Oryzias latipes: one gene and its partners. The protein of the gene in region 2 purifies or fractionates together with the protein of the main gene of each other region. This does not show direct contact. Links are inferred from orthologs where the notes say so. Each region holds a gene or a part of one and is shown on either strand. Other genes may lie near its edges.

Region 1 (7,185 bases), about 24 Mb from region 2:
TGGGGGGCAGTGTTATGGGGGTGGGGGCTGTTGTGCAACAACAGTAGGAGGAGAGTGGAGCGAGCAGCAATGAGTTGGGGCAATGCCAGATTCCAGGAGCGTCCCACACACAGCTGCAGCTCTCCTCCATCATCTGAATACACTAGCAGGAGCAGCAGAACCAGAACCAACAATGGGAACTTTATAACAGACGTTTTCTCTGAAACCACGGTCGGCATTGATGGATAACAATACATTTCTAAATCTGTCCCTCCTCACAGGTGCAGGACGCTCTAAGAACAAACAAAAGCTGGCCCTCTCATAGCTGAACACAAATATATTCATCACTTCTGTACTAAAAGCCAATATTCATTAGCAGTAATGAGAAGGATGAGGGGGCTGAAGGAGGATGTTATCAAGTAACTGGGTTGCACTGATTTTGTCTGGAACTGCCGTCATCAAGTTTCAACCTGTAGAGAGCAGGTAACGAAAAACATAAAACACATCGCTCAAAGACAAGACTGAACATGTGAGGAAGATCAGTAAAAAACTCACAAAACCCAAAGGCACTGCAGGGAAAAAATGACTACGGAGCAACAAAGGTGGTCACTGCGGCTATTTACGGAGCAACAAACGTGGTCACTGCGGCTCTTCACGGAGCAACAAAGGTGGTCACTGCGGCTCTTTACGGAGCAACAAAGGTGGTCACTGCGGCTCTTTACGGAGCAACAAAGGTGGTCCCTGCGGCTCTTTACGGAGCAACAAACGTGGTCACTGCGGCTCTTTACGGAGCAACAAAGGTGGTCCCTGCGGCTCTTTACGGAGCAACAAAGGTGGTCACTGCGGCTCTTTACGGAGCAACAAAGGTGGTCACTGCGGCTCTTTACGGAGCAACAAAGGTGGTCACTGCGGCTCTTTACGGAGCAACAAAGGTGGTCACTGCGGCTCTTTACGGAGCAACAAAGGTGGTCCCTGCGGCTCTTTACGGAGCAACAAACGTGGTCCCTGCGGCTCTTTGCGGAGCAACAAAGGTGGTCACTGCGGCTCTTTACGGAGCAACAAAGGTGGTCCCTGCGGCTCTTTACGGAGCAACAAAGGTGGTCCCTGCGGCTCTTTACGGAGCAACAAACGTGGTCACTGCGGCTCTTCACGGAGCAACAAAGGTGGTCACTGCGGCTCTTTACGGAGCAACAAAGGTGGTCACTGCGGCTATTTACGGAGCAACAAACGTGGTCACTGCGGCTCTTCACGGAGCAACAAAGGTGGTCACTGCGGCTCTTTACGGAGCAACAAAGGTGGTCACTGCGGCTCTTTACGGAGCAACAAAGGTGGTCCCTGCGGCTCTTTACGGAGCAACAAACGTGGTCACTGCGGCTCTTTACGGAGCAACAAAGGTGGTCCCTGCGGCTCTTTACGGAGCAACAAAGGTGGTCCCTGCGGCTCTTTACGGAGCAACAAAGATGGTCACTGCGGCTCTTTACGGAGCAACAAAGGTGGTCCCTGCGGCTCTTTACGGAGCAACAAAGATGGTCACTGCGGCTCTTTACGGAGCAACAAACGTGGTCACTGCGGCTCTTTACGGAGCAACAAAGGTGGTCCCTGCGGCTCTTTACGGAGCAACAAACGTGGTCACTGCGGCTCTTTACGGAGCAACAAAGGTGGTCCCTGCGGCTCTTTACGGAGCAACAAAGGTGGTCACTGCGGCTCTTTACGGAGCAACAAAGGTGGTCACTGCGGCTCTTTACGGAGCAACAAAGGTGGTCCCTGCGGCTCTTTACGGAGCAACAAAGGTGGTCCCTGCGGCTCTTTGCGGAGCAACAAAGGTGGTCCCTGCGGCTCTTTGCGGAGCAACAAAGGTGGTCCCTGCGGCTCTTTACGGAGCAACAAACGTGGTCACTGCGGCTCTTTACGGAGCAACAAAGGTGGTCACTGCGGCTCTTCACAGAGCAACAAAGGTGGTCACTGCGGCTCTTTACGGAGCAACAAAGGTGGTCACTGCGGCTCTTTACGGAGCAACAAAGGTGGTCACTGCGGCTCTTTACGGAGCAACAAAGGTGGTCCCTGCGGCTCTTTACGGAGCAACAAAGGTGGTCACTGCGGCTCTTTGCGGAGCAACAAAGGTGGTCCCTGCGGCTCTTTACGGAGCAACAAACGTGGTCACTGCGGCTCTTTACGGAGCAACAAAGGTGGTCCCTGCGGCTCTCTACGGAGCAACAAACGTGGTCACTGCGGCTCTTTACGGAGCAACAAAGGTGGTCACTGCGGCTCTTTACGGAGCAACAAAGGTGGTCCCTGCGGCTCTTTGCGGAGCAACAAAGGTGGTCACTGCGGCTCTTTACAGAGCAACAAACGTGGTCACTGCGGCTCTTTGCGGAGCAACAAAGGTGGTCACTGCGGCATTTTAAGGAGCAACAAAGGTGGTCCCTGCGGCTCTTTACGGAGCAACAAACGTGGTCACTGCGGCTCTTTACGGAGCAACAAAGGTGGTCCCTGCGGCTCTTTGCGGAGCAACAAAGGTGGTCACTGCGGCTCTTTGCGGAGCAACAAAGGTGGTCCCTGCGGCTCTTTACGGAGCAACAAACGTGGTCACTGCGGCTCTTTACGGAGCAACAAAGGTGGTCCCTGCGGCTCTTTACGGAGCAACAAACGTGGTCACTGCGGCTCTTTACGGAGCAACAAAGGTGGTCACTGCGGCTCTTTACGGAGCAACAAACGTGGTCCCTGCGGCTCTTTGCGGAGCAACAAAGGTGGTCACTGCGGCTCTTTACGGAGCAACAAACGTGGTCACTGCGGCTCTTTACAGAGCAACAAACGTGGTCACTGCGGCTCTTTGCGGAGCAACAAAGGTGGTCCCTGCGGCTCTTCACGGAGCAACAAAGGTGGTCACTGCAGCTCTTTACGGAGCAACAAACGTGGTCACTGCGGCTCTTCACAGAGCAACAAACGTGGTCACTGCGGCTCTTTACGGAGCAACAAACGTGGTCACTGCGGCTCTTCACGGAGCAACAAAGGTGGTCACTGCAGCTCTTTACGGAGCTAACGTTTAATCCCCAGATGTTTCAATATTGCTAAAGTCCCACTCCGGTCAACTTTGATCCATTTTCAAAGCGCTCCCAGGGGTCTTTTCATTATGATGAAGCCGTTTTCAGCTAGAATTAAAAACCTGTCGGTTTCTAGGACATAGTTTCTGCAGAGTGGCAGATGTTCATCAAAAATTATCCTCTCCTTTTGTGGGCGAGACTGTAGTGATGGAGAAACCCCACCCACTCTTCCCCTCTCTGTTGCTGAGAGCTCTCTGTTTACACTCTCCCACTAGCTTTCAGCCCCTCGAACCCCAATCTGACATTATGGGGAGTAATATTGGGATTATCCAGCTGTACAGCAATGAGCCAGATAGCAGCTGTTGAAACACAGTCAACTATTCATTCATTCATTCATCTTCTTCCATTGTCCCTTTCGGGTCATGGGGCTGCTGGAGCCTATCCTGGCCACTTATGGGCGAAGGCGGGGGACATCCTGGACAGATCGCCAGTCCGTCGCAGGGTCACACGTATCACACGCCCATTCACTCTCACATTTACACCTTTGGACAATTTGGAGTGACCAATTAACCTATGAAGCATGTTATTGGACGGGAGGAAGCCGGAGACCCAGGAGAAAACCCACGCGTACACGGGGAAAACACGCAAAGTCAACTAATCCTGCATTAAAAATAAGAAACCTACATTAATTTGAGGAAGCATTCCCTCTCCAGTCTCCCACTGTCAATAAACTGAGACACTGTTTTCTCTCTGGTTTCTACCAGTTCCAGTTAAAAGTCCAGTTCTTCTCGGGCCACACAGAACCCGTTTCATGGGCGTACTGGCTGGAGGAGCAGCTCGCTTCAAATACGCCCCCTCTGGACTGTCGGTGAAGTGATGAGCATTTTCTAAAGCGGCCTCATTATATCTGATGCTCATAAGTCAATATTAGTGCACCTGTTAGCGAGACAGTATTTTACGGAGGGAAAGAGTCTGGAGTGCGAACCCAGTAGGCTGAGGTAACTTTCTCGGTGGATTCAGTTTGAACAAAGTGCAACATAAAACAGAACAATTTGAACAGCCAGTTTAGAGCTTTTAAAGGACTTGTTGAGACCCCACTGGAACCCTGGAGACCATGTCTGCCGCTCACAGACTGGGCTACTATATCACAGAGCGCTGCGGTCTAAATCCCCAAAACTGCAGGCTCTCCATCATCGCCAAACACGACGGTTGTTCCTGAAAAAGTCTGGTGGTCATTTTTCTCAAGACCTTCAATGAACGTAAGACACAGACGTGGACGGTTGCATCTGCAGACCTGTTGTAACTGTCGAATCTCATCGTTCAGGTCGTCTACACGCCTCTGGTCCTCAAGACTGAGCTGAGAGAGGAGATCTGTACCCAGTTCAGCCTTCAAGGACTCCCTGGTGGACTCCATGGCATGAAGGCTGGCCTCCAGACTTTGGAGACTGCGTTGCTGCAGAAGGACAGGAATGATGAGTAGCACGAACATGACAAAACAAAGCAACAATGTGCATGTTGACCAAAAGTTTCACTAAGAATAAATGAAGGAAACAACCTTGGGCATAAATGTCTTCTCTGACTGCTGCCTCTTCTCCTTCAGCATCTTCATTTCAGACAGAATACTGTCTCTGGATGCCTTAAACTTCCTCTGCTGGGTCTCGATCTGCTGCATCTGATTCATCAGCTGGTCAATCTCGTTGTTGATGCGTGGAGCAACGGTTAAGGAGAACGACGGATGTGACTGTACCAGCTCCCCCTTAATGCGCCTCCATGGTTCTAATGGCTTACTGGTTTTTCCAGCCTCTACGTCATGTGAAGCAGACAGCTCCTCAAACACGTCCCTGAAGTCTTTCTCCACATCACTCCTACAAATAAAACCATCTCCACAGAGGAAAAATAATGACCAAAACAAACACTAACAACACAAATGTGACAAGCAGCAAAAACACAGAAGGCCTCCTTTTGTCCTCCTTGTTTTTCTAATTAAATGTTAATGAAACCAGCAGACCAGAAGCAACTTCTGTAAAGCAATTATGACCAAATAAATCCCATCTAAGAAGAGTCACGATGCAAAATAACAACAAATAAAAACATGTGATTTCAATCATCTCCAGTCATTCACAGTAACAATGCTTACAACTGTTATGGATAGAGTCAAACCTGATTAGCTGAAAATAGGGAGGATAGTCTCAATCGCCCGTTTATCAACAGGACAGCTGAGTCCTGTGAGCAAGAGGGCTGAATGTTCTGTCAGACTCAACATGACTAGAAAAGACCTTCTATCACTACGTCCTGATTGACATACAGAAAACCAGGTTGAACGGTTTCTTTCCTCTGACGCTCAGTTAAAGAGAAAACCCCACCACACATGCAGAAACCCAAATGAAACCCTCTCTGATCCCCTTGTTTTTTCCTTCAGGAGCTGTCCTGAAATGAGTCATGGTTCTGGCAGATATGGCCCAGGACACACTAATCCTTCTTGACCTGCTTAAGCCTTCTTCCTGCTGGCTTGGAGGCAGCGACATAACTCCAGTGGATGTAATCCCTGTTCAAAATAAAGCTTCCGCTGAGAGAAATCACCCCAGTGATGACGCTCTGCCTTCTATACTCATGAGCTTCCATGGAAGATACCGCCACACGCCACAAACGCAAACGCTGGGACAACTTTCCTTTTCTGCAAATTCCATTTCTCTAACCTGGAGCTAAAGACTTTATATTTTACTAATAGGACTTGTCATCCAAAACCTAAAACACAGAGCAAGTTTTTTGTTGTTGTTAAAAACAGCCTAAATTTTACAGCCAAATATGCAAATGTGACTGTTTGGTGGTCTGTATGCAACAATATAAAACCCAACTGCAGAGTACGACCTTCACAGCAGTTTTCCTCAGTGCATTAAGTGTGTACTTCTCTGTGTGTCGTTTGCCATCGCTCTTTTAGCTCCAACAGCCACATAAACAGACGCCCCCCTCCCCTCAAGAAATTACCAAATCACTAATTGCCCCACCCCAGGGACCAGAGCAGCAGAACTAGTGCTAGCTGCTAGCTCATGCTGAGAACAATGGAGATATTGATGGAGTGGAGACAAATGTTTGAAGCAAATGGTAAATGGCATATGCTTATAAAGCACTTTCTACCTTCTTTCGAAGGCCCAAAGCACTTTACAGTCACAGTCCCATTCACCCATGCACACACACATTCACACACTGAAGACGTGCCCCCGGCACACACATCTGCAGGGTGGAGTTTGCTGTCAAACACAATGAAAGAGGTGTCTGCAGCTTTGCTACACGTCCAACATGAGCAGCATCTCCAGCGTCACCATCCAGTTGTGCCGCAGCGTTAAAGCGGGAGAACCGAGCTGGAAACACGAGCCAAAGAACGGCGGTCTATCACGGAGGCCTCCTAGCAACACAGAGTGCAACTGTTTTCTTCATTATACCTTTGTTTGGTAAGTACTGAAGTACCAGGTACTTCTATACTGAAGTACAAGTATTGATGTTTACAGTAAGTACAAATGTTCGGTGTAATGCTTTTCTACATATAGTCAGTGCTAAGAGTTATGCACAATTCTACCTCTTGACAAGTAAAAATGTTCATTTGTAAAAAAGGGAACATTTTTGGTTCTTTTGTACAGAAATGATTTGCTGCTCAGGAAAAACGTTGCTAAATCTATAAGAATTATTAGTGAATGCACAGAGCCCATTAGAAGTTAAAGAAGAGGTTTGTGAGTTAGCAGGAACTTCATTTAAAATGACTACACAGATGTTTGCCGGTCTGCCTGAAACAAACACTGACTGTAACTCAGAGCAGTGGACGTCACACCAGTGCAGGTGAATGCTCGTTAGGTGTGAACGGGCTTCGGACTGCCCTTTCATAAAGGATATGTTCGATGTTCCTGCGCAGGTTTTCATTCAGCTTGGCTTCCAGCTCAGTCAGCTCCTCCTCAGCCTTCCTCATGTCTTTCTGGAGCTCTAGGCGAGACTTTCTCGTATCGTAGTAGCCTCCAGTCAGAGCGCCACGGTGGCTGACCTGATCACCTAGAGGCAAATCACATTTGTAAAGAAGCAGAAGCGCCATAAAACCATCTTCAGATCACTTTTTCACATGACTGCTCGCCTCACACCAGAGTTTATCTGCTTTTAAAGCTCTTCTGAATCAGAAAAT
Region 2 (7,943 bases):
TTTAAGAATCCAAACTCTATAAGGTTTCTATAATTCTTTCATCATAGAGCATAAAAGACAAATCCATTTGCTAAATGTTTGCGTCATCATATTGTAAGGAATGTGTTGTAGATGCTCCATAGCTCTGGGAATAGGAATGAATGGTACCTCAGGTTTCATATCCCTACTGGGATGTATGTATGATTGGAGGGGGGGGGTAAGAAGCATGAGTGAAGTGGTGGTATTTGGCCTGTTAATAGGTTAGATCAATTTAAAAAAAGAATAAACTAAGGGGCAACTTGAGAACCAATCTAATATTTTCCCACAAACCCTTTGCAACCCGTAAAGACTTGATCTTCCTTTTTAAAAGTAAGTGCAGACTAGGGAATCAATCCTGTAATCGTTCAGTCCCTCGACAGACACTTCCACTAATACAGCTAAATAACAGCCATAGGCCGCAGACTCGCTGAATTCTAAATTATACCAGGCATCCAAGCTATTTTATGCCTTTTAGCTTTCTTTCGTATTTTTCCAACATGGAAATCACACTATTAGGTATGGAAAAAGAAAATCACCATAAATGCCTAGATTTCAATATTCCCCACCGATTCTTAGTGGGTAAATATTTGTTACACTGATTTGCTCAACCACCACCAACTAATGTAACCATCCTCTTATTATATGACTAGCAGCAGCACTGAAGGACTTCAGTTCTCTACACCGGGTACCAAATATAACCAAAAGAAATGAATCGCAGCATTTCATGTAAACGTGCACAAACATTTACATAGACATGAGTCATAACGTAGATACATGGTGTATTTATGTTTTCAATGTTTCATTTCCTGTTGCTCTGGCAGAAATGAAATTTTCAGCAAAATAATGTTATGTCACGGTGTCTGCTTCTATTGCTTTGCCTGCTGTTGTTTTTTAAGCCCAGATGTAGCCGCTTCCATCTGCAAATCACTTTTGGCATCAAACCAGATCGTCGCATAAGGATCCTGCCAGTTAGTCTGCATTTTATGAAAACAACTTCTACTGCTGTAAATGTAACACTGGCAAATCAAATGACATTTGACTCTTCTCTAATGCCATAATCCATTTAAAAACTGAGAAACGTCACTGAACAAAAGGCTCCCAAATCAATCTTGTTTGTTCTTGCAAATGCTGTATTAAAGTTCAGTTTGTTTTTATTTTATATTTATAAAGTGCAAGTATACCATCCTTTCACATCACGTTTACTACCTTTGTTTAATTTACACAAGAGATTACTGATTAAATCCATAGCGTTCTTTAAAAAAAACAAAAAGAAGAGAATTCTGCAAAATGCAAAGCATTTCATATTCCTAGTTTAATGTGTGACTGAAGCGCTTCTATGCAGGCTGAATGCAAATGCAGAAGAACAACTGTCGAGTACAGAGTTTAACATGAAACAGTGCACATATGTCTTACAGGGACGGCTAGCATTATTAGATTCTTAATCCAGATCTTCGGGTTTCACAGACAGGATGTAGAGACTTATGCACACATTTTAGCACTCTTTTTAATAGGAGAATGACAGGATAAAAATGCAAAAATTAAAACTAAGTCTTGAATTTGCTTTCAATATTCTGATCTGAAGGTACTCCATCTTCAATTTACTGATAAATTTTAGATAAATGAAGAATTATTTTATCAAAAGAGGACTTTGAAAAACAAAAGTTTCTTAATGTCTCTCATTTTGCATACAACTACAAAACTTTAAATTCTTTTGAAAGGCTATAGCACTTCCCTTCTTCCACAATAAAACTGGGACACCCCCTCCCTTTAGAAGAGGGGTCCCCAAATCCAGGCCTTGAGGGCCGGTGTCCTGCTGGTTTTCCAGAAACCCTACCATACCGGTACCAAATGACCCACGGACCGGTACCGGTCCCCGGCCCGGGGTTTGGGGACCGTTGATGTAGGATACCGGCCCTCGAGGCCTGGATTTGGGGACCCATGATTTAGAACATAGAGTCAAGGCAGACAGGGAGAGTCTGCATTAACCAGTAAGTAGCCTCTTATTACAGTGAGTGTTTGTATGAAAACTAGCCTTTAGTTGATTAAAAACTTAACATACTATGGTGAAAATTTGAACTGAAAAGGTGGTTTGGTTTGTCAATGTGTCTAGGAAGGGACTTCATAAGATACACACTTTTTTTAACTAAACTATAAACAAGAAAGCACAACAAGAAGCAATAAATTCTCAAAATCTAACATACCAGTCTGATTCGGACAATGGAAAAGTCAGTCAGCTTTAACAATGTATTTATAGCATACGTTACATGATTGCTACACTCTGAGTTTTATCATTTAAGCAATTTTAAAGGTGTTCAAATAAATGACATGGTGTGTGACAGGGACAAGAAGAAACTGGACGAGCTGGTCAAGAGGGCTAGCTCTGTCCTGGGCTGGACTCAGAGGACTCTGTAGGTGAGAGGAGGATGCTGACCAAGCTGTCCAGCATCCGGAACAACCCCTCTCATCTTCTGTATGAGATGGTGAGGACCACGAGTAGCTTGTTCAGCCGCAGACTGCTGCACCCTCAGTACAAAAAGGAACGCTACAGGAGGTCCTTTGTCCCAAAAGCAGTTAAACTGTACAATTAGGACGTGTACTTTTACCACCATTTTTCACTACTACGTCTGTCTTTTCTCTTGCTATTTGTTTTTTTAACGGTTATATTTCTTGTTTGGCTGCTGTAACAACTAAATTTCCCTCCGGGGATCAATAAAGTCTGATCTCAGCTTATGCCATTAGTTTTAAATCTGTGACACAATTTCTCTGTTACAAGATATAGGCTTTTTTATTCTCCATAAATAATACCTGTCCTCATAACATGAATGTCAAAAAACAGTTTGAAGTTTATGTTTTGAACAATCTCAATTTGCCCTTTTCTCACTTAATCTCTTAGGATCACATGCGAGGACATCACATTTTAAAAATACAACCACAGTAGTTAATTTTGTTAAACTGGAGCGCTGTGACTACATATTTAAAGGGTTAATTCCTACATGTTCTGGGGTCTTAACCGGTTAAATTGTGTTTTTAACATGTTCTTGTGCATTTTCAATAAACTACTGTCGTTCTGCAGAAACTATGTCCTAGAAGACAACATACGTTTTTGGATCTGAGCTAAACTGCATAATTGTAAATGACGTTTTTAAATGAGATTACAAGATTATCATTATTTAATAGCTAAACAAATTTGTATTAGTGTTGCTGCTGCTATTCAACATCCGAACTGAGCTTTCAGTGTAAAAATAAATGTGAGGAAAGGATTCTAACACTGAATAGTTTTAGGTAAAACCTTGACATAAACATAGAGTCTGGGCACCACAACATTAGACTGAAAACATGATTTCGTTACAAAACACAGAAAGAAAGAGAATTTATGGGAAGTTCACAAAGTCAGGAGGATCTTGGCACTGAGTCACAGGCTGAGTACTTTTGACAAAGTCATAGGTCGTAAGGGTAAAATCTCATCAACGTACCTTCAATCTCTTCACCACCTCGTCATTGCTGATTTTATCCGTAATCTCTTTCACTCCCGGAGGATAGACTACTTTCCCGTCCCCCGTGGGTTTCTGCTGTTGCGCGAACTCCATGCTTGTTGATGCTCAGTCCACACGGTCTCTACTGGCCTCTATAGGTCAAAAAACATTACTTCAATACAACCATGCTACCGCACTTACTAAAACACATCTTTAAGGGAGACTAGTGTGTGCCACTCGTTGTAGTTTCCTCTTAAAAGATCTAAAACAACATTCAAATGATAAATTACATTAAATCCCTTCACCTAGACCAAAAATAGCACCACTGAAGAAGGATCGCGTGTGTTATTAGCTTACATGCTAATTTTCCCCAGCTAAACACCAGCAGTTATGCTCTTACAAATCGTTCGTGAAATTCCGTTTAGATAGGGAAAGGAGTTCCGCTTACACTTTAAAAACACACACATATAAAAGCAGTCCGGATAAAAACGGCAATTACAAAAAACACAACAGGAGCCGGTGTCTAGCTCCTGTCATATTGATTCTTACATTAGCTAGCTAGAAGTGCTAACAACACAGGCTAATATTTTGCGGGAAGGAAGTCGTGTTAGCTGCTAATTCCCATTAGCAGCGCTCCGATGCTAGCCTAGGCCGCAAACTGTTCAGGTGCCCATCACATCTCCGTCTACATACAATCACAGAGGAAGTGAAGTATCGTCTCATCTTTGTTTAAAACAGCCACGATCCTGCTCAATTCCTGTGATTTCTAACTAATGCCGATACTTTTAGAAGTTAGAAAATTGAGGTTATTTACTTGTGAAGGTCTTTTTCAACTTCCCAGCATCGCTCCGTACTACCGCTAGTTTACAGGCGAGGCAGGGCTGCTACCGTCGCCCTGAGCCCTCCTCTCTCTCAACAACTTGCCCCACGGAGTATTTTAAACACCTTAACAAATACAGAATGAGTCTATTTTTAAACCATCAAATGCTGCATCCCGGGACACAAGTCCAGCGTTCCTTCCAAAGTATTTACCTGGGCCGTTTTAATTCATTGGTCTGATTCAGGTTGGGCTTAGTTTTTCGGCACAAAGCTCTCTGTCCGTTCAGTCAGCGCTGTCTATGTGAAGCCTGAGTACACAGCGCCCCCCTCGGTCTCAAAGGAGTGGTGCAGTTCCCTAAACATGGCGGGAGAAAGCGCCACTGTGGATTCATCGAAGACGGAAGAACATCATTTATTTACTCCAAAAAACAGACATCCATTATGTTTTACGGTTACAGAAGGATCTTCCAGGAAAATTTACATATTTGGAAGAACAATGACATACCTACTACGACTGAGTTTACAATTAAGCACATGTGATGTGTTACTTCAAATGAAAGAGGTTATAACAAAGTGCAACACTGCATTATTGGAGAAATCCTTTAAATCCTTTAAACAAATGCAGATTAAAAATATACATTTTCTCTCAGAAATCAACCAAATACATTTATTTCCTGTTCATTTTTCAATAAAATTGCTTACATCTCAAAGTTTTTTCCTGTTGCCTGGAATCCGACCAAAAACATCAATATAAGAAAAAAAAAAAGACAGGACAATGTTAAATTGAGATAAGTACTAAAACATAAAAGTAGAATGTACAAAAAAATCTGACTTAATGTGCCTTTGACATGTGCATTGATGTAATCCTAATGAAATCATTCTAACCCTCTTTGTTAGCCATCCCCAATTTGTAGGTACAAGTATAGAAGCCCTTCCAGTCCCACCATTTTGGTCTATAGTAAAAGTGTCCCCAGTGCTCTTTATTGATGATTAGGCTGTTTTTATGCAAAACCAAATAGAATAAGCCTCTGTCATAGGATAAAATTTGTGCAGAGCGGTAGGAGTTCATCAGAACTTCACCTCTGAGTTGCGAGTTGTAAGCCTCTGCTGACATCCCATCATCCCTTTGTTTACACTCTCTAATGCCATTTTACAGCTCCTCACAACCCCACGCTAGCATTAGCAGTGCAGCAACAACGGTGAGCAATATTAGAGGTATCCAGCCGTACAGTTTTGAGTTAGATACCAGCTCAGCCGAGGAAACCAAAGACGTTAATATATGTATTTGTTTTTTAAGTGGATGCATCAGAATGGAGTGGACAAAAGAGATTTTTTTAAACAGCATTTTTTTCGTCTGAATTGTCCTTATTCATCCAGATTTGAAGAAGAAATTTTTATCTTAAAGTCTTCTATAGTCCTCCATAATGAGAAAAATGCCACAAGAACTTGTTAAAAACACAAAGTTCCAAGACCAAGCGGGTGTTAAAGTAATTTAGCTTTTAAGTTTCTAAGTTTGTGATTTACATTTTACTTGTATTTTAATTTTGTATTTTTATTCTGCTGTATGACTTACATGTTGTTTATTGTGCTGACATGTGGCCCTCTAGTCTGTGATAAAAGTTCCATTCTATTGTATTTTAATCTATCCTATTCTATTCCTTAAGAAAACAATGAAAAAAAACAAAAACGTGCTTCCAAATCTCACAAAATAAAAAACATAAACTGTTGTACAAAAATGCACTTTCCAGAAACTGCAGTAAATTAAAAGGCCTTTCAGAATTTTAATTTGCACTGTCCCTTTAAGCTGTCACACACAAGCACACACACGCACACACAGACGCACTTTCTGGAGATATCGCGATATATCAGAACGTGATTTCACAGACAACTTCCGTGTATGTTCTATTATAAATCAGTGGCGGGGATGTTTGACAGGCGACATACGTTCGGGAGCCAACGGCAAAGTCCTTGCTCTGCAACGCCCTGCACCACTGAGACGTCAAATCTACGCGCGCTTTTCTTATGCTTTAACTGGTAAGTGACGCCGTTTTGGGTGTGTGTGTGTGTGTGTGTCAGCTGGTGCAGCCAGGCGTCTGCTGATCTCGGTTTGTGGTCAGGTAAAACACAAAAGGAAATGACTGGAAAACTATAAGAAACTTTTTTTTAGTATAAATGTAATTATGAGTACTCTAATATAATCAACAATTGATCATTCGCATGTTGATTATTGTGAATTATGTTGTGGTGATTCATTTGATTGTAATTAATCAGATAAATTCAATTTTGGAAAAATATGCATATTAGGAAACGAATTGTCATCGAATGATTTTGAAACATAATTCAATGTTTTAAAAAAGTATTTGTTCCTGTTTTATACAGGCCAGGTTTTTTTCCACCTGGGAAAATTCTCATTCCGTTTGCTGATGGCGAGCCAGCTGAGCCCACCTGGACCAAATGCCCAACAGTTCCTACTGACACGGTGGCACAAATCGAACACTGTAACATTAACTCTTACACAGGTGGTTAAAACTGGTTTTTATCACCTTAGAAATCTGGCTACGGTCCGCCCACCACTCTCTTTTGTTAATATGGAGATGCTAATGCATGCTTTTATCATGAGTAAAACTGATTACTGTAACGGCCTGCTTGCTGGTCTTCCAGTCTTCCAGGAGGCGGGCTCACATCACCCCAACTATAAAATCCCTGCATTGGCTCCCCACATGCTTCAGGATTGATTTTAAGATGTTCTTCACCATTTTTAAATGTCTTCACGGTCTTGCGCCTTCTTATTTATCTAATCTTTTAGTAAGGTATGAACCCTCGCGGACCCTGAGATCCTCTGGCACTCATCTGTTAACCATTACGACCGTAAGGACCAAAACGGAGAAGCACTGACTATGGCCCCCGTTTATGGAACAGTCTGCCTGAGAGCCGGATTAAAGTTTTTAAGAAAAAGCTAAAGACCCATCTTACGACGGAGTTTAAGGGCCACCCCAAAAAAAAAAAAAAAGGAAAATTATGACTTTTTTCTTTTTACAAAAGGTCATAGATTAACAAGGAGAAAACACCGAAGTTGTGCGTTTATCGGAGCATCGCTTGAAGATGAAAGATGTGGCGGCTTTTTGTGAAGCTTTATTTCCGGATTATAGGTTTAAAACAAAGAGATTCTGAACCTTTGGCGACTCAAAATCAGATTATTGTCAGTGGAGCCGGCTTTCCGGGGTTCAGTGTCAGTAAAGCGGAGTTTCATCTGTAAAATAAGGAGCTCAGAGACACGTTTGGGTGCAGAGGATCGCTGCAGCTTTTATTCTCCTTTTCATTCACAAACCCTGAAGTTCATCTGTCACCTTACGTCATGAACCTGTCATCAGATCCGAACACCAATGCGGAAGTAAACGTCCCGTTATATCATTAAACAACAACGATGAATGAAAATAGTCTATTATGTTATTAGAAAGTTGAAAATGCGTCACACAAACGTAGAGATCTTGTTTTTGGTGGAGGAAGAAAGGATTGAAGTGGAAAGCTGCAGGGACACCGATGGCTTCATCGGGCTGCAGGGATCCTGCAAACCAACCATCAATGAATAAAACTTTAATAAATTGTAAATCAAACAAATGAACTTCCAGATAT
Region 3 (7,185 bases), on a different chromosome or scaffold from region 2:
CTACGGAGACACCCAGAATCCAAGCTCCAGTACAGCAGCTGATCAACTCTTCCAGGAGGTGAATTTTTTCCCACTTCTGTTTCTTATTTTGACATTTGTGGGAGGAGTTTGAGCTTAATTTACTATTTGAAAAGAAGAAAAAGGTGTGAATCCCAGTGTTGTTTGCCTGCTTTCCCCCAGGTTTTTGTAAAAGGAGGTGCTGACTCCTTGGCCAGAAACCCAAGCTTTGATTCTGTAACAAAGAAAGAGATGGCTGCAGATGAAATGGAAGGGACAGCTCAGGACGTCGTCATGGAACGCTCCAAGAAAAAGAGACGTCCTGTCCCTGCCCCCCCCACAGCACCTGCTGCTGCTGCACAACACACAGGTCCGCCGGATCCGGCTGTTCGGAGAAAGAAACGTCCAATTCCCACAACTGCTTGCCAGAAAAAGTCAGACGCAGATTCTGCAGTTTAGAGGCTGGTTATGTTAGTGTGGTTGAATTGATGACAGTTCTACTCATAACATTACGAAGCTTGATGTCCCATTGCTCGTCTGTATTCGTTAGCCTGGCTCAAGGCTGAAAGACAGATGGACAAACATGGGAGAAGCTCAATAAAGTAGAAATTTGATAAAGCTTCCTTCTGATTTTGAGAGCTTAACTATACCTTTATTCTTGGAGTAAACATTTAGGTTTATTCATTCCACTGAAGAGACAATTATGAGAAAACGGCGTCTTACTGAAGACTCAGGGAGGGAGGCAGGACAGTGAAGAAATGTCTACTTAGAGTGTTTCTACAAAAGTCAGCAACTTGTAATGAGCTGCACTTTGAGGAAAAGTTTTACGATGAATGTGGAAGAAATCTAAGAGGGGACGTGGTGCTTATGTTAGGATGTTTTCAACTTGAAATTTGTTTCCTCTGCAGAAAACTAGTAATTTTTATGTAATATGAGCAAATAAAGTTGTTTATAGTAGCCTGAGAAAAATGTTTTGCACTCATTTCATCTTTGGTACTGAAATGCTGACCAGTTAGCAGGGCTTTTGTCGTTTTTTTCTGTCTGCCACTGTGCCCGTTTGGCTGGAAATACTGCTAGCTTTGAGCAGTTCCTCCTAATAAAGGCTCACTTTGTGCCATTTGATGTCACTTTTGCGCTTTCACACGCAAAACATAAAACAAAAAACAAGTTTGTGTGTTCTTTATGAATAAAACCTAATGAGACTTCCCCTTCTAAATTAAATTGTAATGCAGTAACAGATACACGAAAACAAGGTTAAATTATTCAAATTATATTTATTGAAGCAATCAATCAAAGCAGACATGTTTGTTTATCAAAAGCTGACTCGCTGTTCCTCAAACACAAACAAGACTTGTGGTAATCGTCCAGCTGGAAGATTCTCTCCATATTTAATGTCTGCTTTATGCAGATTTGCTAAGCTTTGTTATCTAATTCAAGGGCTGCCAGCTGAAGCTAATTAAATGTTTATTTCATTATCACAAGGGAATGTTTCTGCTGCACTAGAAAAAAAATAGCACACATGAAATGTAAATGCCTGCTGGTATAAACAAGAACATAGAGGAGATTTCAGGAGCATCACTGAAATTCGGCGCCATAAGCCGTATAAAAGTCTGCAAACGTGTTAACCACAGAACTCTGGAGCTGGATTTCACTTCATGATAACTTTTGGTTAAACCATTATGGCCGAATTGAAGAAGGGCTGCTTTAAGATAATGTATGTACATGTTGATTTTTACTGCCTACGAAGAAAATACCTACAATAAAAAGACACGTTTATCACACTAGCATATATAAAAAAAAACACAGAAAAGGAAGAAAAAAAACAGGAAAAGAAATCCAGTACATGATTTGACCTCAGAGCAAAACATCCAACTTTCAAAATTGTTACATAGAGAAGCCTGAATTATTCATTTGGATTGGGATTGGCATCCTGATACTGGGAGAGGTCAAAGGTGAGCACCTTGCTGATGACGCAGTCTCCTTGCTGTGAACAGACAGAAAATGTAATTTGTGGTTTTAGTCTAAGGTAACAGCAATTAACTCTGCTTAATGCAGTGCCTCTAAAATAATCATTCTGTGACAGTGGTCCCCAACCCCTGAGCCGCTGGCCGGTACCGGTCCATGGGACAGTTGGTACCGGGCCGCAGAGAGAGAACAAAATAAACAACTTATGATTTTTATCTGCTTTGTTTATAATATGATTCTACAGAAATTTTTATTTTGGAAAACTACTGGATTCTCCCAACCACATCCGACTCATTCTTAGCGTAATTCAAGTCGCTCGATCACATCTCAAAAGGCCATCGGCTACTGGCTAAAGTTGAAACCAGCTGCAGATATTTTACAAAGGATAAAGATAAAATTTACCCTCAAAAATTGAGGGAAACTGGAGGCTAAGAAAATATTGGATACTACTTCAGCCTCCTACAGGCCAGTCCGTGAGAATATTTTCTGATATCAAACTGGTCCGTGGCCTGAAAAAGGTTGGGGAGCACTGCTCTACGGCACTCATCTATTTGCATTAGTTATTTGAAAAGTAATGATAAAAAACCGCACCTCTGGATAGACACCAATGAGAGAATCTGCCTTAGTGTAGAACTCCTCCTTCAGAGAAATGACGATGGCCTGGAAGTTCTGCACAGACTGGTCTTTGATGTAATTTGCCACCTTTAAGGATAAAAAGAAATCCCAGCTTCAAGATGAGCAACAAGAATGAAAAGTTTCAAGAGAAACAACACTGAATAAGAAGCAGAAAGCAGTGAATCAAACATGAACAGACCTTGCCAATATTAGTGTTGTCCAGAGCGGCATCAATCTCATCCAGGACAAAGAAGGGGGCCGGTTTGTAGCTGCAGACACGAGGGAAGGACGTCCAAAAGGGGATTATTGTTTTACAAGAGGATGACACATGTTCTGTGTTTCTGGATTCTCAATTTCAATCACCTGTGAATAGCAAACAGCAGAGCCAGAGCAGCAACAGTCTTCTCTCCTCCAGACAAATTATCCATGGGTCTGAACCTTTTTCCTGGAGCCACACAGTTATAATTGATGCCGTCCAGATACGGTTCTTCTGGGTTTTCTGGGCCCAGGAAAGCCTACAGGGGAAGATTTAGGAAAAAACGTTGTTTTACAAGTATTTTTTACGAGTATAAGTATTGTACGAGTGGAATCATGTATTGCGTGCTCTAAGGAAACTTGCCTGGGCGCTGCTGTTGCGAGACAGTGCCTTGTAAATCTCATCAATGTTGGTGGCCACGGACTCAAAGCAAGTGTTAAAGCGATCGAACCTCTCCTTCTTGATTTGCTCAAAGGCCTGCTTAGCTTTCTTAGCCCTCTTACGAGCAGCTTCAAACTCTGAAGAAGAAACAACAAAATGAGTCAAATGTATCCCCTTTCCCATAAGTTATTTGACAACAGTCTAAAATCTGACAACTCCCTCTCACCATCACTGGTCTCCTGGAACTTGTCCCTGACACTCTCAAGCTTTTCCATGGCCTTCATGTTGGGAGCACTGATCCTCTGCAGGATGCTTTGCTGTTCATTCAGACGCTGCTGGAGTGTGTTTGTCTCCGCCTTGATCTCCTCTTCTGACAGAGCATCCTACGGGGTGCAAGGATGCGTGTTTATGTGAAATTTACAAAAAGAATCACCATAAACAAATAAATAAGATTTAATGTGCTGGCATGGAGAATGAGTGTCTTGGCTCCACACAGACACACTGTTTAGACGTTTTACCTTAAGGTCTTCAGACAGGCTGCTGTAATCGATCTCAATAAGAGCTTCTTTAGCCAGAACGCTGCTCGATGTCCTCTGACTGCTAGACTCGTCGGTCTGAGAGCTTCCCTGCAGCCGCAGAGCAAAAACAATGTTTTCCCGTCTCTTTCTCAAATCCAGTTAAAGTGACAGAATGAAGACCATGTCCGTGTACCTCTCCCTGGCTGATGTCATCCATAGTTCCTGAGCGAAGGGGCAACCTGATGTCCTGCATTTTGCAGGCCTGCAGCAGGTTGTGGCGGTCGCTGCGCTTCTGCTCCAGTTTGGTCTCGATGGCTGTCACCTCCTTTTGGAGCTGGGTCAACTCTCTGGAAACAAAAAGAAAAGGTTTGTGGTGCAATACAAAATAACATTCTCACACTGAGGAAATGCTAAATCTAGCTACAAACTTGTTAGCGCCTCCAAGTTTTTTGCGAATTTCTTCCATTTCATGGTTTTTATCGTTGACTTCAGATTTCTTGGTGAGGTGCTGGTTTTTCAGATCCTGTAGCTGAGCCATTGTCTCATCGATGATTTTCATGTGCCTGTGCTCCTCCTGAAAACAAATCACACAAAACAATTTCACATTTAAGTTCAAATGAATCTATTAGCAGAATAAATGACAATTTCAACTTTTTACTAAAGATTGCTACCTTCTTTAGTCGCTCTATTTCCGCTTCATCCTTCTTAACAGTCTGCTCCCACATCATGACCTTCTCTTGATCTTCCTTCAGCTGGTTCTTCTCATAGTCCACCTGGATGCCCAGCCGAGTTTTCTGGGTCTCAAACTCAAGACTGAAGAATAAAAGTGTCAGATTAAAAGAAGGAATCAGGACAGCTGATCATCCACAGAACTGACGGGACAACAGAACTCACCGTTTCTTGGCAATCTCATTCTGCCTCTTTACTTTCTCCTCCTCAAATTCTCTGATGTTCCTCACTCCAATCTCTTTGCAGAACTCAATAAACACCTCGTCTTCCACCTGAGAATCAAAGACAAAGAAGTCGGTGCTCTGCATGTTTCCAAAAGGATTTCTGAGTGAACTTCAGTCTCTTAGCCTTACCAGGTTCATCCGATCGCGGAGGTCTGTGATTTCACGCTCACGGGACTGGATTATCCTCTTAATGTCATTGATGCGAGGGCCGAAGTTTGCAAGCTCGCTCTCTAGCTTAGACTTTTCCTGCAGGACACACAAAAAAAAGAGAGTTTGATGCAACACCAATAGTAAACGTGCAAACAATGCAAACTTTATCACTACCAGAGTGTACCTGCATGTTGAGGGAGAGGTGTCGAGTTTTCGTCTGTTCCAGATCACTCTGAGAGTACTTCAGCCTCATCTGCAGCCCGTGAGCTTGAGACTGCACCTGTCGCAGCTCTGCCTCCTTCCTTTTTGCTTTCATTTGCTCCTACAGAAAGATGAGATCTAAAGTTTGACAAACTGAAGTCTGTGAGAACGTCCAACAGCTGTTCACAGCTGGATCAATACACCCAAAACACCCGGAATCAAACATAAAAACTTGCAGGACTAAAAGTTAACCTTAAGCTCTTCCGTAAGTTTTTCCTTTTTCTCTTTGAGTTTATCGACTGCCTTCTCATCCCAGCGTCTGGCCTTGGCTTTCAGGTCGCTCGCTCCTCCAGAGATGACTCCAGACTTCTGGAACAGAGTTCCATCCAGAGCGACGGTCTGGAAGGAGTAGACAAAAGGAGAAAAGCAGTCTTCACAAATGGATCCTCAGATGGACCAACTTTAGTTATTATTATAATTTATTATACTCAAAAGCAGATTTTAAAATGCCCAAGGATACCATAAAGAGTATGAACACGTACAACACACAATAAAATTCGGCACAAAACAAAGCAAAGACGGTGCAGATCAAATCACAGAGAGAAAACTGGAATGGGGGAGTTTGAGACTTCAACTTGAAGTAAAACTGAATCATGTTCTGGACTTCAAGATTTAAAGAGCAGAAGAACTGAAGGCTCTGAGGGGGGCAGAGGGAACAGTGAGGTGATGGAGGCGGAGTACCTGAGACAAACAGGAGGGAATGGAAATGAGGAGGAAATTCTAAAGGGTTTGGAAGAGTGGGATGTTGAGGAGTAGGATTTTATATTCTTTTCTTTGAAAAACTGGGAGCCAAAGCAGATGATGTCGAACAGATGAAGCAGTGAAAAGGAGGGTTTATTGTTGTGATATACATTACTGAGTTCTACACCAGCTGGAGTTTATGGAGAGATTTTTGGGGAAGATGGGGGACTTACAAAACTCACGATGGGAAGTAGCAAGGTTGAGACATTGATATTACATGTGTGGAAATAACCTGTCCGAGTGACGTTGCTCATGTGAGAATGGAAAGATAACGTAATGTCAAGAACAAAACTTCAACTAAACTTCACCCAAAGAGAAGGGAGAATGAAGAACCATCAGAATTCTGAGAAAAAACTTTGTTTTGGAGGAAATAGATGGGATTTCAATGAGCAAGAGCTCAGTTTTATCACTGTTTAGTGGTTTGAAGGTGTGAGATTGGCAGTTGGTAAGAAAGAGGGGTGGAAGTATGGAATTAGGTTTGGCAGACAGATAGAATTGAGAGTCATCGACAAACAGTGAACCTGAACATTAAACCTGTGGGAAAAATTCCATAGGCATAATCATTTCTTCTCATGTAAAGTACCTTGTGTCTGTAAGGGCCTCCGAAAGCGATTCTTCGTGCATCTTCTACATTATCACATACAAGAGCATTGCCACAGGCGTACTGGAGAGCTTTCTTGATGTGGGGCGGCTCGTAGCGAATCACATCAATCACCAGCTTTGCCCCTCGCAGTTCTCTGAGTTTTTCATCTGTCGGTTTCACCTTTAACAAAAATATAGCATTGAAAACCCAAATGAATGTATATTTGTTGTTCATCAATATTGATATGGACAAAAAACTTCAAATCATTTATCTTTCATCTGTGTCATCACTTTCACCTCGAGGTAGTCGAGAGGAAGGAAGGTCTCAGGCTCTCCTCTCTGCTCCTTGATGTACTGAATACAGTCTCTGCCCGTCTTCTCAGAGTCAACAATGATGGCATCCATGTTTTTGCCCAACACTTTGGTGACAGCAATCTGATACTTCTTCTGAGTGGGCTGACACAGGTCAATCAGACGGCCGTACTAAAACAAGAAAAGGTCCAAGAATGACTTCATAGTAAATCCTGTTCATTTGTATATCCCTGTATTAAGTCTGTATAAGTCATTACAGAATTAGTAATGCTTTTAAAGCTTGCTTACCACAGAGCCAGGATACAGCCGTTTGATACTCTCCATGATCTCGGCTTTGCGCTGCTGTCGACTGTTCTCCTGCCTGTCGATTCTGGCGTCTCCCAGCTGCTCCATAACCTACAGCAAAACCAATAATGAAAAGAAGCATAGAAGAACTCTGCACAGCTGATGATTT
Region 4 (7,130 bases), on a different chromosome or scaffold from region 2:
GGTGTGTCCCACATTCCCTCCTCTGCCACACTAATTGTTTTTCGTAATTATTTTCACCCTTTGTTATTGTGACAGGCGGCGGCTGCGCAGCTCCAAATGAATCGCAGCCGCCAATCCGACATACGAGTGGCAACAGGAGAACACGGATCAAGATCTGGACGCTCCTTCCGTCTCGCATCGCAACAAATCAACAGCTCATTGATGACGCTTCTAAAATCTGAGAAAATTAGCTAAAATAAAAAAAACAAAGAATTTCCTGTGAAATGATGCAAAAATCCACAATATCTTCACTAAAAGGTACTTTTGGCAATAAATTAGCAAAACAAAAAGCTGAAAAGTAAATCATTGAAACAAATTAAGGCAAAAAGCTGAAGGTTGATCTGCTGTAATTGGTAGAAAAACATCCTCCGGACATCCAAAATTACTGTCAAACATATGCAGACTGCTACCAACGTCCATTATTTCATCATCTTAGGCACATTTTTTCTGGGTTAAGTTTCACCTTTGAGATTCCACAAAAACCAATTCAGCACAAAAAAAGGGAAAAATACAGATTTAGATAAAAACTATATCTGCTCAAAACATAAATGTATAAGAAAGAAATACCCGTAGAGGCTGCATAATCAATAAAAAAAAACAGATTTGCAGATATAAATACTAACCTCCCCATACAATTATTTACTAAAATGAAGAAAAAAATTCCCTAAACAATGAAAAACGCACTAAAAATGTTAACATAGTTCTTAAAAATAAAAAGGGGAAATAGTGAAGAAGCTGAATAAATTACACTGGTTTTAGAAACCAGTGGCACAAGGACAGCACTGAGTAGCTATAAAGATTTGTCCAAATTGTTAAACTAAAATGGTATTGGTTTCTAGACCTGAGGGTTTCCTTACACTGGAAACAGAATCGAGGAGGAAAAACGTTCAAAGCTCATCTGACAAAACCTTTTCTGGATGAGAGACTAAATCGGACTCGCTGAGGTTTTGGTGATTAAGAGTGCAGAACACCACATGATGGTTTTTATGTTTCACAGCGCAAATCAGTTTCTGTGGATTTTAGCGATGCAGACATTTCTGGATTCACAAGCAACGTATGTGACTTCAAAGCTGTGATTCATTATTGTAAACTTCAGGAGGGACCTCCATTATTTAGCGTTTAATGCTTTGGTTGATTTTTCTGCTGTATATCTTAATTACCAGGTGCGTTCAGACATTCTGGAAACATTCTTTTTATACATCTGTAGCTCATCTTCATTTGCCACAGATGTAGATGTTCTCCTAAAAATGTATTTTTTAGAACCTGACTTGGGAAATGTGACACAGTGTGTGAATTTTTTTTTTAATCTACAGGATAAAAATCTTCTTTTTGGTAGATTTCTGTCTGAAATCTATCCGAACTTCAATATTTTGAAGAAACTTTGAAACTGGATGAGTTCAGACGCTCGATGACTTTGACAGGAATTAGCTACTGATTTTTATCGGCACTTTTCCTGAAGCAATATGAGATTGCTGTTCCTAGAGGATGGATGTAATTTATTCAGAGGAGAAATTAAACTGTTCACACAGTCGCTTTTCCTGGATGAACACGGGGAAAAGCTGCAGACGTTAACGTGAGGGTCAAAGACGGGGGAGAACGCCACAAGTGTGGCAGATGTTCAAATGGGTTCCTTTTGACAGTGCAGTTCAGTCCACATGAGCAGGAAAGGGTCACTTAGGCAGGATTACACAAATTATGTTTTAGATTAGATGTGAATAGATGAATTCCTCACAAGCTGCAACAGAAGACACAAACACTTGCAATCTTGACACACTTTTAACCACCACCAATCAATGTAGTTTTCCTATTTTATATATATATATATATATATATATATATATATATATATATATATATATATATATAGTAGCTATATGTGTTTTTCTGACAAAATTGTATCCTGTTGTTCTGTTAGATCTCATAATAAAACCCCTACATGTTTCTTTTTGTTAATTTTTACAATCATTTTTGGAATTACATGCTTTCAAATTGATTTTTTTTTTTTTTTAATTTTAGTAAGAACACATCTTTTTGTGAGTGTTAGAGATGCTATTGGGTAAGACATCCGTCCATGGGGCCCTAATACGTTTCCCTAACAAAGTTAATTCAAGCAACACCCCTGAAAACGAGTACAAAATTCAAAATGTTTCTCTAGTGTTCAGTTTCAGGAAATGTTTATCTTTAAATGCTAAAAGTGTATTTTGCTCTCATGCATGGTTACCCTGCTCCGTAGGTAGTCTGCCAAGTTCTTCCGTGTGAAGTTTGCTGCTGCAGATGGACTCAGTTCGTAACCTTTAGGGGAGAAAAAGTTTCATCAATGACTTGTTCTGATCCCCTGATGAACCACAGACAGCTGCTCTGTGTAGTTTCCATCCTACCGTTCCTCATTTTGTAGAGCTGGACATTCTTCTGGATGTACTCAGCAAACTGCACCGTGTCTCCTGCTTCTCCCACGCACAACAGCAGGATCTTCTCGCTCAGTTTGAACATTTTATCATAATCTGGTGGATCAAAAAAAAAAACACCTTAGAACTTTCACTTTCACAGTTAGCCTGCATGAGGCTGCATAATCTGCTAATTTTAGAACAAAACCAATTATACAGAAAAACACCAAAAACTCAAATCGGGAGCAAAACTGCACCGATTTTTAAGCAAATATCCGCAAAAATAATTTAAATCGAACGCAGATTAGTTTCATTGGTTCGATTATTTGATATAGTGTGGCCAAGTATAAGAAACCAACAACAAATTAACTGTAAATTCGGAAATAAAAGCTTGATTTAACCAGATAAAATCTCAAAACGCTTTGAACTTTACCCCCCTAAATCTAAAATAAAAATCGGCGGAGCGGCTAATGCTACAGCTAACGACGAGCTACTTTACCGTGTTTCATTTGGATTATGCTGCTGGCGGCCACATTATCGGCGGCGACGAGAACAAAATCTGGTCCCTGGATTCCGATTAAATATTCCATCGTGAAAAACGCGAATAAACAAAAAAATGTAAGAATAATTCGAGGAAGCAGCCGCGGACAGCCGGGTCTGCTCAGAATATTACACAGCAAAAGTTCAGCTAGCTGCCTGTCGCATACTGGTGACGTCAAACCGCGCGACTTGGGCGGGCGATTTGAAACGCGGGAGTGTTTTTGTTGTGTGTCACCGAGCGGAGGGCGTCCGTCATCGGGGGAATTTTGAGGTTACAGCCAAGCTGTGTTGACCATGAAGGAAGGGGAGACTCACAGCGTGATGGTGGAGTCCAACCGACACATAGACCCGCCGCGGAGGCGTTCGCCGCGGCTAAGTTCTACCCTGCAACCGCCGGGGAAGATTGACACAAACATGGCCGCGCTGGAGGCCGTCCCGGTGAAACGGTCCATCACTCTAAGGAAAATAGCTCCGAGAAAAACCGTTACCTCCGCGGAGCAGGACAAGGAGAACACACCACGGCGAACGAGCAACAGACTAGGGCAGAAAAAAGAGGTGTCCACTCCTGACTTGGTCCCAGACCGCAGGGCCTCCGCCATCTCTTCGGCTAAGAAGAAGAAACAGGCCTCGATGCCGTCCCCGATCTTGCCTTCCTCCCCGCCGACCTCAAACCCCGCAGAAAAGCCGCCAGCGACCCCGGAGGACGCAGAATGGGCGCGAAAGGTGCGCCGCTCCTACAGCAGACTGAGCGACAAGTCCCTCCACAGCCCGGACTCTCGCGATACTTTGTTCGGCTTCCAGCATCTGCAGACACCGGAGGTGAACCGGGCGGCAGGGCAGTCCAGGAGCGCTCTGGAGCTTTCCTCCATTTCTGCCCTGAACTCTTTCACGTCTCTGCTCGATACCGACGCCGGCGGTGCGGCCGAACCGGACCCGAACATCCCTGGAGTGGCTGTGGTGAAGGAGAGGAAGAGGAGGCGGAAGAAGGTGGCGCCGATCGACGGCGTGGAGCTGGACGTTCTGGTCGCCCAGATGAACGCGGAGTTCCAGGAGGCGGAGGAGTTTGAGCTGGTGGTGGAGTAGAAACTGGCTCTACTCAAGCCCAGGGGAAGCTTCTCAAGGACTGTGATAAAAATAATTCAAGAAAATGTTAAAAATGTCCAGATATTTTTATTCCTTCACTTGGTGTGAAATAGTTTTTAAATACATTTTCAGTATCACATTTGCTAGTCGTTTGTAACTTCAGTTTTTTTGGTTTATTTAAACCGGACTTTATCCTTTGGCAGAATTTAAGTGCTAAAACCGTTTACTGAGGAGCATTTCCCCAAGAATTACGTTTGGAGCTAAAAGGCTTTTATTCTGAAATGAAGCTTGAAAGCTTTTATGCAAAAGTCTGGAGATAAAAAGCTTTGAGTCGTAAAATTGGTGCTGAACAGCTCTTACTTTGAAGTTTGAAGATAAAAAGCTTTTATTCTGACGATTGGACTTTAGAAACATTTATCCTAAAGGTTTTGACTGGAGACGCTTTTATTCTGCAGTTTGGATTCTCTTTTTTTTTTAACTTTCCCAAATGTTTTTAGAGAAAAATAAAGTACATGGCATCTGTAACCAGCACTTTTTCCTCTTTAATTTTGTTTTTTCTTTCTAGTTTAAGAGAAATCCATTTAAGGTTGTTTATATCTTATATGTGTCTTTTAAATACATTTCTTCTGTTCTGTGTATTTGAATAAAAGCAAACATCTTTTTTTAAACATACACTTTATTTTGTTTACCCTTATTTGTACAGTTAAAGAGTTTTAAATTATATTAAACAACAATTTTTTAGAACTTTGCAGTGAAATATCAACTAGCTGCAGAAGGAGATGACACAGGAAATATGAACAAATAAACTATAACATAGCTAAAGAATTCAACTGAAAAGCCTTGAATGGCCTTTCATCAGATCCTGTCTCAAACTGTTTTTGTGAAGCTCTGAAATTGATCAGTACTGTAAATATCCTACTCTATGTTTAATTTAACCTTATGGCAATCAGAGCGAGCATGAAAACCCGTTTTCTAACTGTACATATGACAAAAAAAAAACTTTGAATCCTTTCAATTAAAAAAACTGAGGGTGAAAGGTCAAAAGCAACTGTAACCCTATAACCAATCAAAATCGTTTTTTTGCATAATATCCAACTAAATTATACAGTTTTGCTTATAGCAGCAAAAGTCTAGAATCAGGACTTTTATTTCAAGCGAAAAAATAAAACCAAATGCATCAAATGAATTTAGATGTACAGTCACAAAATGATCAGATGATAAAGAAATATGTAAATCTTACTAAGAGAAAATTAAGATAAACACGTAAATGCTCACACAGAAAAAAATGCTTTTTTTCATCTGCTCCTGTTTACAAAGAAAAAATCTGGATTGGAGTTTTCAGGTGACGCAAAGACTGATGGTTTTTGGGGGTTTTTCAGGCAGCTTTTAAAATTTTGAGCCCTGAAAGTCACAAACACGAAGTGACAAAATATAGTAAAAATCACAAGTGATTGACAGATCTATCAAATATTTTGAACAAACGTTTCTCTTTTCATCAATTCCCGGCTTTTATCATCTGCTGTTTGTGACTTTCAGACACTTGAAGACCGTCCAGTTCCCACACCGCTGTGGTTGCAGAGGTGCTGCTGGGACGGCTCAGCCGGTCGAATCAATGAGAACAAAACTGTTGACTGGAAACTGAATCAGGTCAAAACACCAGAGTGTCACTGTTCCATGAGTTTGTGTCTTTTTGTGTGTACAGGCTTCACAAAGCATTCTAACTAGCCCCCGCTCTCTCCAGCGATGACAAACTGCTGACTTAATGAGAGTGCAGAAGTTTTTTCCTCCCTCTTAGGTCTCTGAGGAGAGCAGGGTGTCATCCAGACTAACAAGACTCATCTCACTAACCGAAGCTCCTCGGATCAGCTGTCAAGGTGTGAAATGCCTGCTTTTTAATGACGTGTTAATAGCTTCGCAGCGGGATTGATGTCAAATCCATCAAAACCGAGCTGTTGCCGACATGTCAATCGCTGAAGCCAGCTCTTCCTTGCCGTGTTGCACTTGTCCGGCCTTCGCTTCGGCGTTTCTGATGTAGTATGATGCCGTTTGCGGGTCACGAACTCTAGGTCTCACCTAGAGTGTCACCTTTGACACGAACTTCAACCCAACAACAATCTTGACAAGGTCTCCAGGAACAATTAAAAATATACAGGAATTTGACTCCCCGCCTGCGAACTTGACTTTACAATCATTTTTTAGCTTTGACACTCTAAGTGAAGCATCGATAGGAGCAGATGCCCAGACCATAATAGAGCCTCCTCCGTGTTTCACAGTAGAGTCAGTCTTCAGAACAACAAGAAGATGTTTCCAGTTTTGTGTCACCTGTCCAAAGAAATTCTCCTGGGTACATACTGACTTATAGATATGCATTGTGGAAAAATATACCGTAATTTATTTTTCCAATAGTTGTGCTCTTTTTGGTAATTTCCACAAACCCCACTTTGGATCAAACAACTCCCAATGATCTGATTCAACACTGATGAACTTTGACCTTAGAATGAATCTGTAAGGGCTTTGATGGTCATTCTAAACCTTCTGGTTTTTGTCCGGATTTTTTTCCTCAGTTTCCTCTTGCAATCCTGTTCGTGGAGTTTATCTTCACCCCCGTGGACCCCAGCCTTCTGAATAATCTGAGCAGCTGCAGTCACAGCAACCTCAAGTTGTTTGTGTAGATGTTCACACAGTCTTTACCTTTAACATCTTTGGTGACGTATCACAAACTGAATCACAAACCACTAAGAGGAGCTGGCTGCAAACATCAACGGCCAGAATGAGAAGTTCTCAACTGGAACTGGAAGTCACTCCATATTGCTCAAAAAAACCTTTACTTTAACTGGCGACCCTAACAGTAATTGAGTTTCCATTACCTATGAGATTGCGCAAACTGGAATTGGGATAGTAATTTTGCCTAAGTGAAACTGTGGAGATAATTCAGTCTCAATAATCAGAAATGCACACAAAGTGTTTCACAAATACGTATTTATGCAAACATGTAATATGAATTCACAAATCCAAATGAAGTGTTTCACGAATACACACAAACCATTTCACAAACATAATTTTGAGGTACACTTGTAATATAAA

The links.
Region 1: the proteins of pds5a (region 2) and smc3 purify together in Homo sapiens (affinity purification with western blotting; 8 studies listed by BioGRID and IntAct, with this or other methods). This does not show direct contact. The link is inferred for Oryzias latipes from reciprocal best matches to the Homo sapiens genes PDS5A and SMC3.
Region 3: the proteins of pds5a (region 2) and smc1a purify together in Homo sapiens (co-immunoprecipitation; 8 studies listed by BioGRID and IntAct, with this or other methods). This does not show direct contact. The link is inferred for Oryzias latipes from reciprocal best matches to the Homo sapiens genes PDS5A and SMC1A.
Region 4: the proteins of pds5a (region 2) and cdca5 purify together in Homo sapiens (affinity purification with mass spectrometry; 4 studies listed by BioGRID and IntAct, with this or other methods). This does not show direct contact. The link is inferred for Oryzias latipes from reciprocal best matches to the Homo sapiens genes PDS5A and CDCA5.

The regions. Positions count from the first base shown.
Region 1 is NC_019859.2:36,692,690-36,699,874, reverse strand, and holds part of smc3 (structural maintenance of chromosomes protein 3), read right to left. Parts: intron 7,059-7,185; coding exon 6,906-7,058; intron 4,728-6,905; coding exon 4,576-4,727; intron 4,474-4,575; coding exon 4,315-4,473; intron 1-4,314. UniProt on the Homo sapiens protein: Central component of cohesin, a complex required for chromosome cohesion during the cell cycle. The cohesin complex may form a large proteinaceous ring within which sister chromatids can be trapped.
Region 2 is NC_019859.2:13,081,608-13,089,550, forward strand, and holds the start of pds5a (sister chromatid cohesion protein PDS5 homolog A), read right to left. Parts: upstream 4,653-7,943; 5' UTR 4,524-4,652; intron 4,495-4,523; exon of another isoform or gene 4,306-4,494; intron 3,959-4,305; exon of another isoform or gene 3,940-3,958; intron 3,866-3,939; exon of another isoform or gene 3,849-3,865; intron 3,644-3,848; 5' UTR 3,606-3,643; coding exon 3,492-3,605; intron 1-3,491. UniProt on the Homo sapiens protein: Probable regulator of sister chromatid cohesion in mitosis which may stabilize cohesin complex association with chromatin. May couple sister chromatid cohesion during mitosis to DNA replication.
Region 3 is NC_019865.2:11,928,775-11,935,959, reverse strand, and holds the end of smc1a (structural maintenance of chromosomes protein 1A), read right to left. Parts: intron 7,128-7,185; coding exon 7,020-7,127; intron 6,903-7,019; coding exon 6,717-6,902; intron 6,601-6,716; coding exon 6,421-6,600; intron 5,436-6,420; coding exon 5,289-5,435; intron 5,158-5,288; coding exon 5,020-5,157; intron 4,932-5,019; coding exon 4,815-4,931; intron 4,734-4,814; coding exon 4,627-4,733; intron 4,546-4,626; coding exon 4,404-4,545; intron 4,307-4,403; coding exon 4,161-4,306; intron 4,080-4,160; coding exon 3,926-4,079; intron 3,841-3,925; coding exon 3,733-3,840; intron 3,598-3,732; coding exon 3,441-3,597; intron 3,352-3,440; coding exon 3,197-3,351; intron 3,093-3,196; coding exon 2,941-3,092; intron 2,847-2,940; coding exon 2,777-2,846; intron 2,665-2,776; coding exon 2,554-2,664; intron 1,982-2,553; coding exon 1,901-1,981; 3' UTR 1,252-1,900; downstream 1-1,251. Other genes in the region: dihydropyridine-sensitive L-type skeletal muscle calcium channel subunit alpha-1, read left to right, coding at 1-58, 181-456. UniProt on the Homo sapiens protein: Involved in chromosome cohesion during cell cycle and in DNA repair. Central component of cohesin complex. The cohesin complex is required for the cohesion of sister chromatids after DNA replication.
Region 4 is NC_019869.2:20,007,740-20,014,869, forward strand, and holds cdca5 (sororin), read left to right. Parts: upstream 1-3,138; 5' UTR 3,139-3,257; coding exon 3,258-4,046; 3' UTR 4,047-4,718; downstream 4,719-7,130. Other genes in the region: psmb2 (proteasome subunit beta type-2), read right to left, coding at 2,261-2,331, 2,418-2,540, 2,923-3,013. UniProt on the Homo sapiens protein: Regulator of sister chromatid cohesion in mitosis stabilizing cohesin complex association with chromatin. May antagonize the action of WAPL which stimulates cohesin dissociation from chromatin.